Linked DNA regions of Cricetulus griseus. The protein of the gene in region 2 interacts with the protein of the main gene of each other region in a pairwise test. Links are inferred from orthologs where the notes say so. Each region holds a gene or a part of one and is shown on either strand. Other genes may lie near its edges.

The links. The genes of interacting proteins can lie anywhere in the genome.
Region 1: the proteins of Fate1 (region 2) and Cd79a interact in binary tests that used the Homo sapiens proteins (3 or more experiments, as listed by UniProt). The two-hybrid records come from large-scale screens. The link is inferred for Cricetulus griseus from reciprocal best matches to the Homo sapiens genes FATE1 and CD79A.

What each region holds. Positions count from the first base shown.
Region 1 is NC_048602.1:9,635,701-9,646,365, forward strand, and holds Cd79a (B-cell antigen receptor complex-associated protein alpha chain), read left to right. Parts: upstream 1-5,635; coding exon 5,636-5,689; intron 5,690-6,191; coding exon 6,192-6,292; intron 6,293-6,462; coding exon 6,463-6,521; intron 6,522-7,189; coding exon 7,190-7,489; intron 7,490-7,701; coding exon 7,702-7,820; intron 7,821-9,366; coding exon 9,367-9,435; intron 9,436-9,577; coding exon 9,578-9,691; 3' UTR 9,692-9,968; downstream 9,969-10,665. UniProt on the Homo sapiens protein: Required in cooperation with CD79B for initiation of the signal transduction cascade activated by binding of antigen to the B-cell antigen receptor complex (BCR) which leads to internalization of the complex, trafficking to late endosomes and antigen presentation.
Region 2 is NC_048604.1:3,687,848-3,698,230, reverse strand, and holds Fate1 (fetal and adult testis-expressed transcript protein), read left to right. Parts: upstream 1-4,542; coding exon 4,543-4,648; intron 4,649-5,143; coding exon 5,144-5,271; intron 5,272-6,194; coding exon 6,195-6,301; intron 6,302-6,598; coding exon 6,599-6,674; intron 6,675-7,046; coding exon 7,047-7,178; 3' UTR 7,179-7,593; downstream 7,594-10,383. UniProt on the Homo sapiens protein: Involved in the regulation of endoplasmic reticulum (ER)-mitochondria coupling. Negatively regulates the ER-mitochondria distance and Ca(2+) transfer from ER to mitochondria possibly implicating it in the regulation of apoptosis.

The sequences.
Region 1 (10,665 bases), on a different chromosome or scaffold from region 2:
ATTCATAATCCTGGTCTGTGTCTGCTTTCTTTCTGTTCGTTTTGTTTTTAGAGCTACAGTGTTGGCCAATGGTAGGGCTGGGCCGCAGGTGTACCAGGCACATAGCCTGTCTGATAGAATTCCCAGGAAGGGGAAATTCTGGGTTTTGAGAAGGCAGTATAGGCCCGGTGTTAGTGGCACGCTCCTTTCATCCCAGCACTTGGGAGGCAGAGGCAAGTCTCTGAGCTCAAGGCCAGCCTGGTCTACAGAGAAGGCAGTATAGTTGGGGAGTGACCAGCCATCCCCTGCTAAAGATGAAAGCTAGGTGTCATGGTGCCTTTGTGTGCAGTGCCCCCGTGTGGTGGTTGAGTGGACTTACGTTTGAGTATGCTGGGCTATCCAGACACAGTTGATCCTAGCAGTCTCCCAGGTGCTAGGTAGTCAGGGCTACCTTGAGGCCCTGGAATTTTTGGGTTTTTTTTTTTTTTCTGTTTTGAGTCAGGGTTTCTCTGTGGCTTTGGAGGCTGTCCTGGAACTAGCTCTTGTGGGCCAGGCTGGTCTCGAACTCACAGAAGTCCGTCTGCCTCCCGAGTGCAGAGTGATTGGGATTTAAGGCGCCACCACCGCCCGACGAGGGCTTAGAATTTGAAATTCCATGTCCCCCAGATGAAACTGGCTTTGCTGCGGAACCCTTGGTAAAAGCCCCTTACTAGAGGCTGAGCAGTAGTGGCGCACACCTTGTTAATCCCATCAAAGACTGGTGGATCTCAGGCCACTTTGGTCTAGGGAGCAAGTTCTCCAAAAATAAAAAAGCCATTACCAGAAGTGGCTGATGAATAAAACAGTCCTTGAGGAGAAATGAATCCCTCCCCTCCTGGTGGCCCGGCAAACCTCTTCAGATGGGTATCTTGCAGCGTTTGAAAATCAGGGGAAGTCACTGGAAACTAGTTGCTCCAGGCTGAGAGAGGTGGCCTGTGTTAGCCCATAAAGTCCATCTCAGGCTCCGTTGACTTGAGCTATCCGGCTCAAGTGAGCCTCCTAGCTGAAGCCCTGCTTCAGCCACTAGAGGGCAGCCGCTAGCCACTGCTGAAAAGCTTGAGTTCTAGCTTACTCTGGAGGGCTGAAAGCCCGCTGTCCTCTAAAAGCAGGCACCTTACAATAGTGGGGAGGATTCCTTAAGCCTCTTCAGGGAGAACTGAGTGAATTTTGGTTTTTCGAGGGCGCCACCACTGCCAGGCTCGAGAGGGATGCTCTAGCCTTGGACACTGGCCTGAAACTCAGATCTGCCTGCCTCTGCCTCCTGAGTGCTGGCAGTAAAGGTGTGTGTCCCACCCTGCTGATACTCTTAGTGCCAAACTCAGTTCCTGCATAACAGGAGAAACCAGCTCAGAAGACCAGTCAGCTGAACTCGGGCAAGCCAAAGGATCTCTGGTTCTTGAAGCCTAGGTAATAGTTGTTATTCTTGTTTTGTAGCCCAAACCTAAAAATGACCTGTAACTCATGACATCCTGCCTCCACCTCCAGTGCCGGGATTACAATCATGTACTACTAGATCTGGCCACTTGACCTATTTTTAAACTATGAGGTATTTCGGGCATGCAAAACGGTATTCAAAGCAGCCTTGCAAATACTCTCCAAACCCATGACGTCGAGGGTGCCTCTGGGGTTAAGAACACTTGTTCAGTTTCTAGCATCCATGTCAAGTGGCTCGCAACTACAGCTACAGCTCCAGGGACACCAATGGCCTTTAGCCTCAGGGGCACCTATATTCACGTGCAAGGCACACCTGCACACAAAAATAATAGCCGAGCCAGGCAGTGGAGGCACATGCTTTTGATCCCAGCACTGGAAAGGCAGATGAATCTCAGAATGATCTACAGAGTGAATTCCAGCACAGTCAGGGCTACACAGAGAAACCCTGTCTCCAGCCACCACTCCCCCCCCAAAAAAAAAAAAATGGGGTTAGAGAGATAGCTCAGCAGTTAGGAACACTGGCTGCTCTTCCAGAGTACCCATATGGCAGCTCACCACTGTCTGGGTGACACTTCCCACAGACGTACATGCAATTGAAACACGAATAAAATAATTTTAAAAGTAATTAAAGACAAAGCTCTTATGCAAGGAACATCAGTTGTAACTCAGTAGCTGAAACCTTGCCTGCCACAGGAGAGGCCCATACCCTGCACAGAACCAAACATCAGGGAATAAAGACACTAAAGAAAACTACAAAGTTGGGCTGGAGAGATGGCTCAGGGGTTAAGAGCACTGACTGCTCTTCCAGAGGTCCTGAGTTCAATTCCCAGCAACCACATGGTGGCTCACAGCCATCGTTATGAGATCTGGTGCCCTCTTCTGGTGTGCAGATAGACATGAAGGCAGAATGTTCTATACATAATAAATCTTTAAAAAAAAAAAAAACTGCAAAGTCAAAATAGGAGAGGCCACTGAGCTAGCTAAACACTTGCTGCTCTTCCAGAGGACCCTGGTTCAGTTCCTTTCGTCTATATGGCAGTTCACAACCATCCAGCTCCCAGGATATCTGATAACATACATTCAGACAAGGCACCCAGGCTCATAAAATGAAAAGGAAATTTTGTTGGAGACAGGGTTTCTCTGTATAACCCCTGGCTGTCCAGGAAGTTTCTCTGTAGACCAGGCTGCCCTTGAGCTCACAGAGATTCGCCTGCCTCTGCCTCCTAAGTGCTGGGATTAAAGGTGTGCACCACCACACCCAGCAAAACTATTTTTTTTTTTAGGTTGAGCGAAGCTGTCTGAGTCCTTCCCCAGCCCCAGCCCCAGAGACAAATGTACACATTTGTCTCTACCACAGGCCTCTGTCCCCAAACAGCATGATGGGTCATTTTGCCTTTGGAAGACAAGTCAACTCCTTCATCTACACCAGGTTTTTACTCCTCATTTCTGACACTGACTTGACCTGCCTCTGCCTCCCAAATGCTAGGATTAAAGGCTTGCACCACCACCACCACCCAGCTCAAATTATCTTTCATTTATTTTTTTGTCTTTTGGGGGAGGTGTGTTTGTGTGTGTGTGTGTGTGTGTGTGTGTGTGCACACTACATGTGTGCATGAGTCCAGGTACTTGAGAATGTTGGACCCTCTGAAACTGGAGTTAAAAACAGTTGTAACCCACATGTAAGTGTGGGCATGGAACTTGAACTCAGGTCTTCCACCAGAACTGTATGTGCTAAACGGCTCCTAAACGGCTGAGCCCATCTCTCCAGCTCCTATCTTTGGGTTGGTTTATTTGAGACAGTCTTGTATAGCTCTGGCTAGCCTGGAACTCTTTTTTTTTTTTTAAGGTTTATTTATTATCTATACAGTGTTCTGCCTGAATGTCAGAAGAAGACACCAGATCGCATTATAGATGGTTGTGAGCCACCATGAACTCAGGACCTCTGGAAGAGCAGTCAGTGCTCTTAACCTCTGAGCCATCGCTCCAGCCCCCATAGCCTGGAACTCTTAACAGTCCTTATGCCTCTGCCTCCCTTTTGTTGTTACTTTGACTTATTTTGTCTGAGGCACAGTCTGTGACACCAGCTGACCTGGAGCTTGCCTTTATCCTGTCTCAGCCTCCCAAATTCTGGGATTATAGGCATTTGCCAATACACCTATCTTAGTGATTTTTTTTTTTTGCCTTGTCTTCATACATGCTAAAATTGCCTAACTACTTACTTAGTATCTTCAAAGAGCCATTTCCAGAGGACTGGAGAGATGGCTCAGCAGTTAAGAGCACTGACTACTCTTACAGAGGACCCAGGTTCAATTCCCAGCACCCACATGGCAGCTGACAACTGTAACTACAACCCAGTGCCTTTCCACAGGCAAAACAAAACACCAATGCAAATTAAAAATAAATAATTAAAAAGAAAAAACATTTAGCTGGGCATTGGTGGCGTACACCTTTAATCCCAGCACTGGGGAGACAGAGGCAGGTGAACTCTGAGTTCGGAGCCAGCCTGATCTACAGAGTTCCAGGACAGGCTCTAAAGCAATACTGAGAAACCCTGTCTCGAAAAACCACACACACACACACACACAAAAACCTCCATTTCCTTGTTATAAAACAGACTTTTGTTAGCTAGAAGGTGATGACGAATACCTTTAATCCCAGCATTTAGGAGACAGGGGCAGTCAGATCTCTGTGAGTTAACTTTTGTTAACATTTTAAATTTTATTTATTTTATGTATATGGTTATATTGTGAGCATATATGTCTGTGTACCATGTGCATGACTGGTGCCAACAGAGACAAGGAAAGGGTGGCCAGGGAGCTGGAGAGATGGCTCAGAGGTTAAGAGCACTGGCTGCTCTTCCAGAGGTCCTGAGTTCAATTCCCAGCAACCACATGGTGACTCACAACCATCCGTTATGAGATCTGGTGCCCTCTTCTGGTGTGCAGATGTACATGGAAGCAGAATGGTGTATACATAATAAATAAAATCTTAGAAAGAAAGAAAGAAAGAAAGAAAGAAAGAAAGAAAGAAAGGAAAGCCGGGCGTTGGTGGCTCACATCAGTCAGGAGGCAGAGGCAGGCAGATCTCTGTGAGTTCAAGACCAGCCTGGTCTCCAGAGCGAGTGTCAGGACAGGCTCCAAAGCCACAGAGAAACCCTGTCTTGAAAAACCAAAAAAAAAAAAAAAAAAAAAAAAAAAAAGAGAGAGAGAGAGAGAGAAAAAAGAAAGAAAGAAAGAAAGAAAGAAAGAAAAGGGTGTCCTATCCTTTGGACCTGGAATTAGAGCTGGCTGCGAGCTGCCATGTAGGTGCTAGAGCAAACACAGGTTATCTGGAGATTACATACAGGAGTAGGCCACCTGTCTCATGTTTTCTTTTTCTTTTTTTTTTTTTTTTTTTTTTTTGGTTTTTCAAGACAGGGTTTCCCTGTGGCTTTGGAGGCTGTCCTGGCACTCGCTCTTGTAGACCAGGCTGGCCTCGAACTCACAGAAATCCACCTGCCTCTGCCTCCCGAGTGCTGGGATTAAAGGCATGTGCCACCAACACCCGGCCTGTTTTTTGTTTTTTGGTTTTTTTTAGGTTCATTTAGTGTTTATATGTCTGATTGTGAGCCACCATGTGGGTGCTAGGAATTAAACCTAGCTCCTTGACAAGAGAAATGAGTGCCCTTAACCAATGAACCATCCAGTTCCTCACCTTTAAAACAAAATGGACACAGGGAGCTCAATATACTGGCTAAACTGGCTGGCCAGTGAACTCCCTGTTACCCACACCCCAACCCCATCTGCCTGTTTCTTTGTTTTGTTTTTGTTTTTGTTTTTGAGACAGGGTTTCTCTGCGTCGTCCTGCCTGTCTTGGAGCTCGCTTTGTAGGTCAGGCTGTCCTCGAACTCACAGAATTCCACTTGGCATCTGCCTGTTTCTTATGTAGCCCAGGCTAGCCTCTTGGTTCGTTACTCTCCAATCTCAGCCTCCCAAATGCTGGGATGACTGGCATGAGCCACCACACCCCTCCGCTGAGTCCACTCCACCACAGACTGTATAGCCTGCCTGCAGCAGAGGCCTGCAAGGGTCCCTCTTCAGTAGGCCTTGAACCAGCCCCTTCCCCACCCAAGCCCGAGAGACTCAAGGGAATTGTGGCCAGTGCAGGTGCAGGGCAGTTCCTCTCAACTCAGGGCCTGAAACGCATGGCAGATAAAGGCCACTGGAGCTCATCTCCGTGGGGCCGAACAGGAAGTGAGGTAGAGTTTGGGGTGGAATCTGGTACCTCAGGGCTACTGCAACCCAGACGACTAACCGACTGACTGGGAGATGTCAGGGGGTCCAGGAGCTCCCGGAGTCCTGCCTCTCTTCCTTCTCTTCCTCTCCGAAGCCTGCCTAGGTAGTGTGGCCAAAGGGAAGGTGCTGGGCCAGGGGTGTGTGTGTGTGTGTGTGTGTGTGTGTGTGTGTGTGTGTGTGTGTGCACCCGAGCGCGCCCTAGAAGACAGGAGGGGTGGAGGGTGGAGAGGGAATGGGGGGGCGGGGAGCCGGACAGGATGGTGCATAGTGCATACCCTTTAAAGTAATTCTAGAGCTCAGGAGACTGAGGCGGGAAGGAGGAATATTGCATTTGAGGCCAGCCTGGTCTACGTAATGAGTTCTGTCATGGCTAGTAGACTGGGCAATTTACTGAGACCTCTCCCAAAAAGAAAAGAAGCAGGGGCAGGGACCCATGAGAAGCTTTCTGTACCCAAATGTACCCAGGATGGGTTGGAGGAGGCTCAGGGACGTCCACTGATAGGCCCAAGACCACCAGGCCCCACGACACACTACCGTATCTCCACAAGTAAGAATGAGGAACTGAGGTAAGTGTTGACTGAACAGGCTGAGGAGAGGGAAGGTCACCCCCTCAAAGTGTTACTAGGAACAGAGTCTGAGTCTGAGTCTTCAGCCCGTGACCATCAAGTTGCTCAGCTTCTTCTTTTCCCACTTTTTCTTCCTGACTTCCGACCTTCCTCTTCCATGCTGTGTCCAGGAAGGACACAGCTGCAAGCAAGCGTGGTCCTGGGGAGGCTGAGAATGCAGGCTTTCAAAGTAAACACAGAGTTGCTGGGCGTTGGCCTTTAATCCCAGCACTCGGGAGGCAGAGGCAGAGGCAGAGGCAGAGGCAGGCGGAGGCCAGCCTGGTCTCCAGAGCGAGTGCCAGGACAGGCTCCAAAGCTACACAGAGAAACCCTGTCTCGAAAAACAAAACAAAACAAAAAAACAAAAAAAAACAAAAAACAACAACAACAAAAAAAGATAAACACAGAGTGGACACCACAGCCACCAGTCTACCCTTGTCTCTCAGAGCTCCCTCCCTCTCCCCTAGACAGAACTCAGTCCCAGGTCCCCAAATTACAGAAGTGAGAAGCAGCCTATGCACAAAAGCCAAGCCAAGGCCAGGAAAGGACAGATTCAGGGAGGTGGTGGGAAAGCCACCACTTCCAATAGTCTGGGTGATGCTGCCCCTCCCTTACCCCAGTGGGGGTTCCTAAGGGTTGGGAAAAATGGAAACCATTCCTTCCCAATGAAGGAGAAGGCCTTCTTGAGTCTCTGAACCGAGTACTGCTGGTGTCAGGGGGACAAAATGCAAAGGAGTAACCGTGGCAAGAACCCACAGGGCGTCTCTCCCAGCATCACTGGTGTGAAGGACTCTGGATTGGGGCAATCAGGGCTGTCCCCAGCCTGTGACGCACTTGTCTCTTCTTGTCTCTCCACAGGCCCTAGATGCCAGGCCCTGAAGATAGAGGTACCACCATCACTGACGGTGAACCTGGGGGATGAGGCCCGCCTCACCTGCAAACACGACGCCAACAATCCTAATGTCACATGGTATTACGGTGATTTTCAATACAACTTCAACAACTCCATACCCGCAGTGTTCCTGGGTCCTGGTCAGGGGCCCAGAGGCGAGCTGGTCATCTCTAACGTGAACAAGAGCCATAGGGGCATATACAGGTGCCATGTGGAAGAAAACAACGAGGCACAATTCTCCTGTGGCACCTACCTCCGAGTGCGTAGTGAGTAGCAAGGGACACCGCCCCTCGGGTTCCCCGTCCTATCCAGAACACGGCTTTCATGGGAGCGGAGCCAGTTCCTCCCTCCTGGACCTACACCCAGCAGCACACAGGCTCTCACCTGTAGGATGGTGGCTTCAGGACTCCCTGACCTCACAGGGGGCAGGGCTGGGAGAGGAGGGGACACCGGAACAGCACGCTCCCTGTCTTCACAGAGCCAGTCCCTAGGCCCTTCCTGGACATGGGGGAAGGCACCAAGAACCGAATCATCACGGCTGAAGGGATCATCTTACTGTTCTGCGCAGTGGTCCCGGGAACGCTGCTGCTATTCAGGGTGAGTCTCCCAAGTGACACCCCCCCCAAGTCATCTGGGCTTGCCTCTTCCTGGACTGTGACTCCCAGTGTCCAGCCCGACCTCTAGATCCTGAGGTTCCTCCTCCAAAGCGTGGGAGGCTTCGAGTACCCCTCAATGTAATGAAAGGATTTTAAGTGGCACTGAGCTCAAGGGGTGTCGCGATGGCCCACTGGTCCTCTCTAGATACCTTCTCATTCTTCTCCTGTCCCACCAAAGGGCAGTCCCTCTAGAGCCCCTACTTTCCTTAGGCCACAAGGCAAAGATTATATATATATATATGTATATATATATATGTATATATATATATATACATATATATATATATATACATATATGAGGTTTTACTGTATAACCCTGAATGGCCTTGAACTCACAGAGATCTGACTATTTATGCCTCTCAATTTCTGCTGTAGAATTAAAGGTGTGTGTCACCATGTCTGCCCTTATTTATTTCCTATCAGTGTGTATATATGGATAGTGTGTGAGAGAGTTTGGGCATGTGAGTATGAGGGTTGGAGAATAACTTTCCAGAGTCCCCTCATTCCTTCCCGCTTTGGGTCCCCAGACCAAATTCATGTCCTCAAGTTTGCATGGCAACGTATTTTTTTTTCCTTTCCTTTTCTTCTTTTGTCTTTCTTTCTTTTCTTCTTTTGTTTTGTTTTGTCTTTTGAGAGAGGGTTTCTTTGTGTTAACAGCTCTGGCTGTCCTGGAACTCACTCTGTAGACCAGGCTGGCCTTGAAGTCACAGAGATCTGCCTGCCCCTGCCCCTGCCCCTGCCCCTGCCCCTGCCCCTGCCTCTGCCTCTGCCTCTCAAGTGCTAGGATTAAAGGCGTGCGCCACCTTTTTTAGTGGGGAGGTTGAGATGGGATCTTGCTGTGTAGTTCAGGCTGGGTCGGAACTCACTATATAGATCATATTGGCCTGGAATTCATAATCCTCCTGCCTCATCTTGCCAAGTACTGGAGTTACAGACATTCACCACCACTTCTTCAGTCTTTTTTTGGGGGGGGGGGTACGGTTTGAGACAGTGTTTCCCTGTGTAGCTTTGGAGCCTGTCCTGGAACTAGCTCTCGTAGGCCAGGCTGACCTCGAACTCACAAATACCCACCCATCATCACTGCCCGGCTGCACCACCACTTATTATACTTGTCATCACTGAAGAATAGCAGAGGGCCAGCACGATGGGTTACACCTTTAATCCCAGCAGCACTCAGAAGGCAGAGGAGTTCAAGGCCAGCCTGGCCCACTTAACGAGTTCCCAGGAGCTCACGCTACATAGAAACCCCGAGAAAGCTGGTGGAATGTGGTAGCAACCACACCCAGCATGCTTTGGAGAAATGTTCAAAGTCTGAGGCTCACAAGAAGAAAGAGAGGTTTGGAGAGCAGAATCCTCCAAGACCCCAGTGTGTGTGGCCTTGCGTGTGTGCCTTCTCCTTTCTGATAAAGCGCTTGCTCGTATGAGAGGGTCTGGAAACTCCTTCGCCTCCTCCTTGCTCACCGAGGCTATCTCATCCCCTCCTATAGAAGCGATGGCAGAACGAGAAGATTGGAGTGGACTTGCCAGATGACTATGAGGATGAAAATCTTTATGAGGTCAGCATTGAATGGGACTGTACTCGGGGTCGGTGCCCCGGAAGAGGGAGAGAGGCGCCAGGCCCGAGGGGCCCACTCTGGGGTTGACTGGCAACAGGGACCCCAGCTGCCAGGGTACTGATGTCTACTCTGTCCCCCGCAGGGCCTGAATCTTGATGACTGCTCTATGTATGAGGACATCTCCAGGGGCCTCCAGGGTACCTATCAGGACGTGGGCAGTCTGCACATTGGAGATGTCCAGCTGGAGAAGCCATGACTGGCATCCCCCGTCGGGCTGTGTCCTCTGTCCCTACCTGCCATAAGCCCAGCTCCAGCATCCCCGCCTCACAGCTCTTTCCCTGGAGTCCCCCCTTCTCCGGGGTGTGCCACCCTTGCCTCCAGACTGCCACACCCTACTCTCCCACCTAATTTTGTCCTTCCCCAAGTCTGTCCCCGGTTGGTTCCCGCTCCAGTGGGTAATGAGCCCTTAATCGCTGCCTCTAGGGGAGCTGATTACAGCAGCCTCGTTAGTGTCACCCCCTCCTCCCAGATCTGTCATGGCCACTTAAGTGCTAATAAATCCTTCCCAAAGCAGCCCTTGGCAGGAGTCATGGATCTCATGAGGACCGCCCCTCAACACTGCCAGGGAACCAGGAGCCGGAAGCCCGTCCTCGTCCCCTTCCTCCCTCAGACCTAGGGTTCTGGACCCAAGTTCTCACCTGCCCACTTCTGAGATCTGGGACTAGACAGTCACTCCGGGCTCCCCCCACCCAACCAAGAAACAGGAAGTCTCTTGGGGAAGTCCCCACCCCCAATTGAAGGGCTGGTTTAGGTCTTTTATAGGGCCTCACCCTCTCCACGGCCCTAAGCAAGGGGGAACCAGCAGGGTTGTCAGCAAACTATTAGGCATATTTAAGCTCTGAAAACACGAGGTATTATTTCCTCGGGGTGGGACTTAATTTCTCTCATGGGTTCACTTGCATAGGCAGATTTGGGGAGTTCATGTCAAGAACCCGAAGATGGTGGAGAGTGGCACTGCGGTGTGACCCAGGGGCACTCAGTCGGGAAGAGCAGACACAAGAAGGCGGTTAAAGACAGGAGTGAGGCAAAGGGGGGGACCCGGGGAGTCCCCAGAGACAGGGATAGAGAGAGAGAGAAGGGCACTTCTGAGATCTGGGACTAGACAGTCATTCCGGGCTCCCCCCACCCCGCCAAGAAGCAGACAGGAATTGGCTGGCCAGTGAGCCCGAG
Region 2 (10,383 bases):
AAATAAGTTGGCTAATAGCATACTCCTCAGATATATGATTTCATTTGTGTGAGGTCTTTGGACACTGCAAACATAGAGACATACCTCTAACCCAGAAGTGTTCTGATCTCTTCCTTCCCATTTGCAAAGGCATCTGTCTAACTTCCATATGAGAAAACCTTGGCTTCTTCTCTGGGAGCCTACCATTGAAGCTTTCTGCAGCCCACTTTGCATACTTGGCCATGGCCATCCTTCCAGACCTGGGTATAATTGAAAACCTGGCAGAGCTGTAGACCATTGAAATTCCAACATTAGCAGAATAGAGAGTGGAAGACTTTCAGAGTATTTGGATTCCAAGTTTAGGAACATTTCAGATGGAAATTATGATACAGATAAGGTTATGTAAAGGGTAAGATGTTAGACATGTACTATGGAACAAATTCAAAGTAATACAGAGGATTGTGTTTTATCTCTCAGCTATCCTTGGCACCCAATGCAAGAGAAGAAGGTATACAAAGAAAGTAGAGTGGTAGTATTTCTGGATGACCTCAGGGGTCCAGGAATGGGGAACAAAGCCTCCCCACTCTTGCTTTGATTCAGGTGTTGGGTTCCTATGCCACCAGGGGGCAGTGCCTCCACATGCACAAAGGCCATTGTTCCTGTTCCCAGGAAGCCCCAGTGGGTCAAGTCCAGTTGCAGCAGAGGTGTGGGCTAGGAACCTTAGCTCAAGTCCATGTGTCAAGTCAGTGCTCCTGACTTCTGAGCTCTTGTCTCAATCCAGACCCTGTAGGGAGAAAAGACTATTAGCTCTATTGTCTATCAAACAGACTGTGACACAAACAATAGCATTGTGTAACCAATACTCAGGTCTTGAGGAGGAAGGGCAGGACAGGGTTCTCAAATAAAATACAGGATACTCATTTACATTTGAATGCTGTATTAACATGAATAACTTTAGTGTAAGTAGATTCCAAATGTTGCATAGAACACAGTACTAATGCTAATAATGATTCTTTTTCTTATCTGAAGTTCATTTATTTCACATATTTTTATTTGTTCAATCTGGTAACTGTGGTTGGACAGAAATGTAAGGCTCAGCTTCCGGAGCTCCTAGACTTTACTGAACACACTAGGCACTTTCTCTGCCACTAAGATGTGTTCCTCCACAAAGCTCAGGTTTCATTGTGGCTCTCCCAAGGAGAGAATTGTTCAGGACCCCAGGAATGCAGTAAGGTTGCTCTTATAAGATTTCTGAGCTGGGCTAGGGGTGTCACCAAGCCACATTCCCTCTATTAGTCCTATTTCCTCCCTTTCCTTCCTCCTTTTCTTCCTCCCCTTCCCCTTGTCTTAGTTCTCTCTTCCTCTTCCAAGCTGGGCCCAGCTGTGATTGATTCCTTTGACAAATAACCTTTTCTCTCTTCAGTGGCTCCAGGACTTAGAGCCAGGGTTTGACCATTAATAATGGTATCAGCCTAAGACACTACAGGGGAACACAGCAGACAGGATGCACATGCAGATGCCTAAGTATATAGAAGTTCATTTAAACAATTGACTCTGGGACTGCAGGGAATTTGGCTGGCTGGGAATCTGGGCAAGAATTGTTGCTGCTATCCTGGAGTAGACTTTTGTCTTCCTCTTGGAAACCTCAATGTTACAATAAATCTTTCCGCCAAAAGCCGCCAGAGCCCTATCGCCACATGGGCGGTCTCCACCAGCCGCCCGAGTTCTGCCTGCCTCGTGGATGGACAAAATAATACAGAGACATATTAGGCACAAAGCTGCTTGGTCAATGACTAGGATTTCTCATCTGTTAGCTCAGTCTCAATTATCATAATTAAGACTTATTTTTTCGGACGCCTTATTGGCGTCCCTCCTTGCTGGTGGATCACATTGCGCCACTGGAGGAAGAGCAAAAAAGGGGGACATTTCCTGTTTCCATTGCTTTTATATGGGTCTCCTTGCTATGTCACTTCCTGCCTGGATCACCACTTCTCTACTACATTTCCCAGAATACTCTTTGACTCCTAGTCCTGTCTAATTTGCTGTCTCATGGGCCAAACAGTATTTTATTTAACAATCAATAAGATAAACATACACAGAAGTACTTCTCCCATCATCTCCTCTTTTCTGTCTAAAATAAAAGGATAACTGAAGAAAACTATAACCATAACTATCTGTCTTCGATTCTATCAAAGACCACAGAAGGATAATATATAAACTCTAGAATTGGCAGAGACATCTCTCTACCTGGACAGTCACCCAAAGCTTCTCTGTAACGTTGGGGCATCCATCTTCAGCCGATAGGCCACAGTGTGTCTGGCATACTTCTCCATTTCAGCAGGAACCCTTCAGTACTGTCTTGTTTTGTAAGTTTAGCAGTTACTTTCTTGTGGGTCCTGCATGTCCAGTTTATACAGCAACAAACAGTCCAGGCAAGAGCAGTTTCTTGCTCAAATGGCTAATCTTGCCATGTTGAAAGCAAACTTCATAACGAGTTTCTTAGATGCCCATCTTCCTTTCTGACATAATTGGTGTGCCAGGAGCAGTTGTGTCTCACTGTCAAGAAAAACCCTAAACCATTTAAATGCCATATGTCTGTAGGTCTTTGAAAGGTTTGAAGAATACCTAACCATCTCAAATACATCTCTATATCTAGAAAACCTAACTAACCTAATTATAAGTTCTGACTATTATAGGTAAAAGATCTGTATAAACACAATACCTAAACAAGAGGAGACATATACATATCACAAAATTGACCTTAAAATTGTATCAATAAATGAAAATCTATACCAATGCAAAGTATTCATTCCTATATCCTATTCCCCTTTTTTTCTTTAAAAAATTGACTATGCTCATTATCATTTATAACCAACCCTATTTAAATGAAAACAAACATTTATAAACACTATTTGGGACTATGGGTGTCATTCTTTCTAAACTGCTTCCTGCTGATTGGGGGAGATGTTCATACCATTGGGATCATGATAAAATATAGAAACCTGACCAAGTCCTTGTTTTTGTAGTCTGTAAGGCTGTATCATCTCAGCTTCAGGGGGTCTTGCTTGATCAAACCATATTAGTCTTGAAGGAATCAACAGCTTTTCATTTTCTGTGGAAATACAAGCAAAACCTTTATTTCTAAGTACCCTGTCCTTAATCTTAAATTTTGAAGTTAGAACATTTTTGAAATGTATAAGTTGGATTAATTTAGCAGCATTTATAATCAAATGTATTTTAGCAGCAGTAAGTCTTTCCTTGGCAATCAAACAATTTAAAGAGAACAATATGGCATATAGTATCCAGATTCTCTGTGTATTTTCCGTCTTTATGTGGCTTTTTTATTACTTTATTTTTACTATCTTTCGTTTATTTTTTCTGAGACAGGGTTTCTCTGTGGAAATCTGCCTGCCTCTGCTTCCTTCAGCAAATCCTACCGGCGTGAGCCACCACACCCAGCTACTCTATTTCCTCCTGTTATTTTTTCTCTCACAAGCCTACATATATTTTTAAATGCAGTGTAAACCTTTAGAGGTTTTTCTTTATCTGGATCTGTCTGTATCATCTTGGGAGTGCTGAGTCCAAGGCCCAAGAGCGCCGGGACGGCGTGAGCCTATGGAAGCTGTTCCAATGCCTCTCAGCACCCTGACAGGGCAGGCTGTGGTGGCAGGTTTCCCTCATTCTCTGGGAACCTTGGGGCATGGGGTCATCCCACTCACTGACCCATTCCTTAAGGTTTGCACTTGATTCTTTCAGCACATTGGTTGAGTACAAGCACCTGACTGGGAGGAAGCCATTTTATTTAAAGTCCATTAGGGATAATAATCACAGCTGCAGTATACCTTTGCAGAAATACTGAGAGTTGAGTGTCTGATAAACTCACTGGGGATCAGAACCTGACTAAATTGACACATACATCTGGTCTAATCTGTAGAAAAACTGAGGCAGAGCTGAAACATACAGCAGGGTACACAAGCCCAGCATGTCCCTCTTGCCCCTCCCTGCTTCCTTCCCAGGATTCATATCAGACAAGGCCATCTACTTTGCTTGAAGACTCTGCATTGGAGGAGGCAGGATGTTCTGTACAGAGAAGCTCCTCTGATAGAGTGCTGTACCCTAGATTACTGGCCAGTCATGGGCTTGTAGAAACCATGATAAGCATGGGACCTGTCACTGCTTTGGGCACTTATGGATGCTTGGGCCGTATGCCAGCCCTTGTCTCTTTCTAGACCATGATGGAGGATGGGATCCTCCTACCCGTGAGTAGCAAAATCAAGGGGAGATGAATCAGGGCAGCTCACAAAAACAGTACCACTTAGAGCACTATCTCATCTCCAAGTTGCTTACACAGCAGAAGAGAAGGCGGCCACGAGACCCACCAACAAGATACAGTGGGAACTCAAGGTGCCAATCCAAGGCCTGAGCACAGAGAGGGAGAACTGGCTCCACCCTCTTGTGCCAGTATATCTCCCTCACATTTCTACCCCTGGAAGAGGCGAGCTTCCAAGTGTCTTCTCTGTGCCATCCACCCTGAACAACCTTACAAATGAATACCTGGTGGTGATGGCAGAAAGCCCTTCCAATGTCAAAGAAGGGTATAAAATGTCCATTTCTGAAGATCTAGGGACTGGAAACTTTGACCAAAGCCAAGAACAACCAGTGATGTCAGGTGAGAATCCCCTAAAAAGCCTGTTGGGTATAGTTAATCATGTGCGTTTACTTGTGCTGCTTCTACAACATCCCAGTCATTGTGCATGCTGTTTACTTAGTCTGGAAGGTTATTCGTTTGTTTTAGGTATTTCAGTGTTGATTTATGCTTTTCTTTTGCCATATTAGCTTGTTTTGGTTTTTAATCATTCATGAACCATTTACATATCTGAATTTACATGGATGGAAGATTTTATTATTGGTATTTCCTATTCTCTCATACATAGAGATGGTTTGTGTTTGGGATTTCATCTCTTGATCATTGCTCATGCTACAGAATCCTAGGCCCAGGGCCAGATTTTCAGTAAATACATACTGACCTGTTGAACAGATGGACAAATAGGCTGAGCATCAGAAGTGAATGGGTATTGAGTGATTTCTGCTGTTTTCAGTACCCAGAAAGTTCTGGTAAAACCTTTAAAGCAGTATTCATAGCAGTCTCTGTTCTTCTTTCTAGAAATGATGGAACGTGGGTCCCGGTCACTGGGAGGAATCCAAAGACGTCCAAGGGCAGAGCAAAAACCTGCTGGATCTGGTTCAGGCCAGTCATTTTGGAATGTGACTGGACCTCGTCCCAAGAAAGGGGTATTGACAAATGGTGGCTAGTTTAGGGTGGGAAGTTCTTACTTTGGGGCTCCTGTATTCCCATGGTAGATATAGCTAGAAGTTGATCATTAGGAGGAGGAAGCTTCCATATACCAATAAAGCAAATGAATGAAGGGTAGATCATTGGAAGGTTAGGGTTGTACTGTATAATGCTGGGACTTCAATGCTAGAAGTCTGCATGCCTAGCAAACATGTTGACTGGAAAATGCATCTATAGTTGACCCTCTACATTCCTAGGTCTTGCATCCATTGGCTCAATCGATCACAGATGGACACTGTCTGTGGGTGGAGGTGGAGTGATTACATCTCTAGAGAATACATGCAAGATGTTTTTCTTGCAATGATTATCTACACAATATAGTATAAGAATTACTTAGATGGCATTTACATTTTATTAGACATTATAAATAATATAGTAATTATTTCAATTATATAAAAAGATATGATTATGCTATATTCTAATATTATGACCTTTTACACAAGCAACTTGGGAATCTGCAGAGCTGCATAACCATAGTGAGGCGTTTATTCTAGAAACAGTCTCCATGGATACCAAGGGATGACTATACAATTCTTTATAAACTTCCAAGGTGTGAAATGATGTTTTCTTTTAAATTACTTAAAATCATCTTGAAGGTTTACATTCATCTTCAGTAGGTAGCTTGGGTTTTCAAGGGATGCCTGCATGTAAAAGTTCTACCAAAAGACAGAGAAGCCTGTCACTGCATTTTCCTTGGCACAGCACACAAGGCTAGAAGCTACCAATAGGCATGGTGTGTGTGTGGGGGGGGGCACAGGAAGATGAAATGACATCATGGGGCTCCTATGGGGTGTACTGTTGATTCATGCACAATGCGGTGCTAAAAGGGTGACTTGGAATGGTGTATCCTTTCTTTCTGTAGGGTCATCAGGTGCAGATGCCCCGGATGCCAAGAGATCACAGTCAGGTGGATGGCTATCTCCAGGAGTTTCCTGGCAACTTCCAAACAGGGAGGGTCCCTTATGAGCGGTAAGAGTTCAATTGTCTTGTTCCTAGCTACTGGGGGAGGAACAAGCAGAGGGTAGGGCCATAGGGACTAGTGAGCATCCGAGTCGAGAAGCAGATGTATATACTTGAAGTATTGGGATACTATTGCCTCCTGGCCATTTGGGATCTACGTATGCTTTGGCAAAGCCTCCGGCTTCTTTACTACACAAGGGAAGGACTGGGATCTTTATCCAAAAAGCCTTCAGGCATACCTTATTGCTCTGTGTCTTTTCTATGGCCACCAACACCTCTGAGCCATGTAACCTTTCCTTCCAACAGTCTGGAGGCAGATTTAGTGGCAGAGATTGGCCTGGAAGAACTCAATGGGCTGGAGATGGAAGTCATGAGAAGGCAGGTAAGCATCTGTTGTATAGTTGGAGGAAGCATCATAGTGCTTTGGAGTGGGTGATTTTGGCAGTTGTGAACAAAGCCACCCCCGAGTTTTCATAGCCTTTGTCCAAATCATATCCTGTAGCAAATGAAGTGAGGTTGGGCTCTCCTTTCTGTTCTTCTCAGGCCTCATGCCTTGAGTACCTCATGTTGATGTTCACCCTTGACTTTCCTTTATGCTGGAGATGCTGGACAGGAATTGGGGAAGAGAAAAGGATGTGGAAGGGGGAACAAAGATTCATTTTGGTTTTGGTCATATTTTCCCCCTACCCTTATGTCTTGCCTTTCTCATAAGAGTGATTCCTGCTCACAAGTCCTGTGTTTGGTCCTTCCACAGATGCAAGTGATTTCTGGGCGGCTGCGTGCCCTTGAGGACCAGGATGCCACGTGGCGCCATAAGGAGGCTGTGCTCTTTAGTTTGCTGGTCTCAGTCTGCATAGCCAACCTGTGGCTTTGGATGCGTCAGTAAAGTTTCACAAACACCACAACCCCATTAGAGCCATTCCTTTCTTTCGTCTTCCCTTTGCTTTCAAGGATGCCCTTATCCACGCCATTCTATCTCCCAGCAGCCCCCCAGGTAGCAGTTGGGTCATTTTACCCCTCTGCTTGGGCCTTCTGCCTGGAGATACGCTCACTCTATTGTGAGATTCTAGCTGCTGCGAGGCTAGGGAACCACTGGGTAGCACCATACAGGTATGCCTGGGTTGAGATGCCTCTCCTCTGGAGGAATTAAAGGATGGCACCAGCCCTGAAAGAAGCACTGACATAAACACCTAACCATCTCTGCTTTGTGGGCCTGGTCTCTGTAACCCAACATTGCTTTTCTTCCGTTCTCTGTGGGCAGGGTTTGCTTTTTGATTCCTCCTTTGTTTACTTCCACACCACTCAAGCCTTTGCTCAGACAACATGCTCAATAAATGCTTCATGACTGCAGCAAAACTTGGTGCCAGAAGTTCTTGACCTAACCTTACTTTTGTCAGGGTTGGGAGGTACAATAGGGGATAGCCCTCTGCTCCAAGACAGTGTGCCTAGAACTGGGTTGCTGCTATTGCCCCAAGGTCCCTGGTGTCCTCCACTGCCTATCATTCCCCACCCTCACTGTCTTTAGCCAAGTCTTCACACAGTCCTTCCCATTGGTGACATGTCATTGATTGTTTGTAGGACTTGTCAGGTGGTATAGTGATTCAATCAGAGAAAATGACATCGAAAGGATCAGAAACCTTTCCATTTTCCCAAAGAAAAAACGAGTTCCTGAGAGGAACTATGAGTCTCTGGGGTTTTCTAGCAAGACAGGGAAAACATTGTGCCCTGGCTAAGTTCTCCCTAGTCCTAAACTAGGGAGTGTCTTGCTTTCTACTGAATATCTGAGGATGGGGTCCTGAGAGAGCTCTAGATGCTACAGCACTGTCCTTTGTACTTATAGCCCTAAACGTCACATTTCAGATAGCTCAGTCACTAGGCAGGCTTACCTGGCTGCTACTCCTTTCCCTGAGACCAAGTGGTTGACACACATTTGATAGTTTTAAGGCTGATTGCCTATTGGCTTGGAGTTAGCACCTACACTATCAGAGTCCAGATTTGTGTGTGTGAGAGAGAGTCAGAAAGTTGTTTACAGATATTTTTAGCGCAGGAGGACTCTGGTGGAATGAATTGAAAGTGGCTTGATGACAGAAAAGTAACCAAGACAAATCTTTTTGGGTGTGGGAACCTAGAACTTTTACATCACCTTTGTGGCTAAGTGAAACTTCTCCAGGCGGCAAATCTATCAAGAATTCTCCATCTGTAGGAGAATGTGTGTCATCGGAATATGAAAAGAACTGTGTATAGGGGTGGGGGATGGAAAGAGTAGGAGAGAGGAGGTAAAAGAGAAATGGTGAAGAAAGAAGAGGCTTGAGTCCCAAATTCTATTTGGCCATTACTCTGTCACCTCCCTCTTATCCTTAGGGGACCCCATGCAATGCAAGGCTTCCTCTATTCCAAATATGCTGGGGACTGATGTGCTTCTGAGATGAGAATACAGGGCCTGCTGTCAGCTCAGTGGAACCCTAGACATGTGGCATTGAAGCCTTACCCTGCTAGAAGGTGAGAGAAGCCCACTTAAGAGATGCTTGGCAAGTTTTCTCTCTGGCCCCAGAGCAGAAAAGGTAGTAGGGTACCAGAGGAAACCCTTTGCAGAATTTAAAAAAAGACACTGCCTAATCATAAGTGCTTTGTACTGGGATAGTCAAGGGCACTGTCTGCACCTCTAAAAGGGCCCTAGAAACTAAGCCCAGAGTAGGGTTGGGAGATTTTGTGGAAGACATTCCCTCAACTTTCTGCAGCCCCAGGAAAGGATGGGGTCTTCTGCAGCCCCAGGAAAGGATGGGGTCTGTAATGAGTCTTTCTCTGTCCCACCAGATGGCTGCCAAATAATGACATGGAGATTCATTTATTATGAAAGCTTGGCCTATAGCTTAGGCTTGTCCCCACTAGCTCTTATAACTTATATTAATCCATTTATATTCATCTACGTTTTGCCTCATGGCTTTTTATCATTCTTTCATTCTGTATGTCTGACTCCCTCCATGTCTTATTGGCATCTCCTGCACACTGAGATTCATCTCCCACTTCCTCTTTCTCTTACTTGAAGTCTTGGCTATACCTCATCTCTAGCTATTGGACATTCAGCTTTTTATTACACCAATCACAGAAATATATTTTCACACAGTGTACAAATATCCCACAACAGGGGTCCACAATGCAGATGGTTAAGAGAAACAGGGAGATGGAACAACCCATCTGTTCACACAGAGGCAGCATGTGGCACTTCCTGCCTCCATCACAATGCTTCCACTGCCTTTGGTGTTGTGAAAGGCAAACATAGGGTACAGATGAGCTTATGAACTAGACACCATGAGGTCATCCTTCACATGGTTACCCTAAAGATGCATCTCTATTCTGTCCCTACTTGGCTCCACAGGGAAACTACAAGGAAGAGAGGGCTGCAACTAGGTGGGACGAAGTCTGCCCTTTGGGGCCTGGGTGCTCCTGTGCCTGTGCAGACAAGACATGTTTTCAGAAAAGGTCTGGTTGAAAATATGTTGTGAAACAAAGTCTCCCTCCTGGGAGCAATTTAGCTGAGTTGCAAACAAACAGCCTGGCGGCCCCCCTGGAGAAACACCTCCTGAGCTAGGTGAGCTCAGATGGAGCCCTTGAATGTGCCCTGACTGCTTCTCTGCCTACCCCGCAGTGTGGCTGCTCAGCTGTTTCTGACAAGACTAGGGGTGGGTTCCTTCCAACAGCCTGCCCCACCTGGGAGATCTCCCAGATCAAACCTGAACTGCAGTCATAGCTTCCCTGGTTCATCTCTGTGGCAGCTTGGAACGTCAGCACTGAGCTACTCTGTCGGTTTCCTTAAGAGCCACAGAGACAACTTGGCAGGAGCTGCTGCTTGTCCCTTAGTCTGTGATCCATCTGGAGCATTTGTCCTCTGATTGTATTCCCCTCTGTCCAAAACTGTGACTCTGCCTATGGAGAAGTATTTACATCTGGCAACAGGGGTGGGAACTTTTCTAGGATATGCTGCTTAAATCATCATGAAACATCTCCACACCATCTAGGCCCAGGATTAGAGAAACACAGAAGCATCTTCCTGCCTAGTAGCTTGTGAATGTGTAGAGCCTACTTTTCACTGC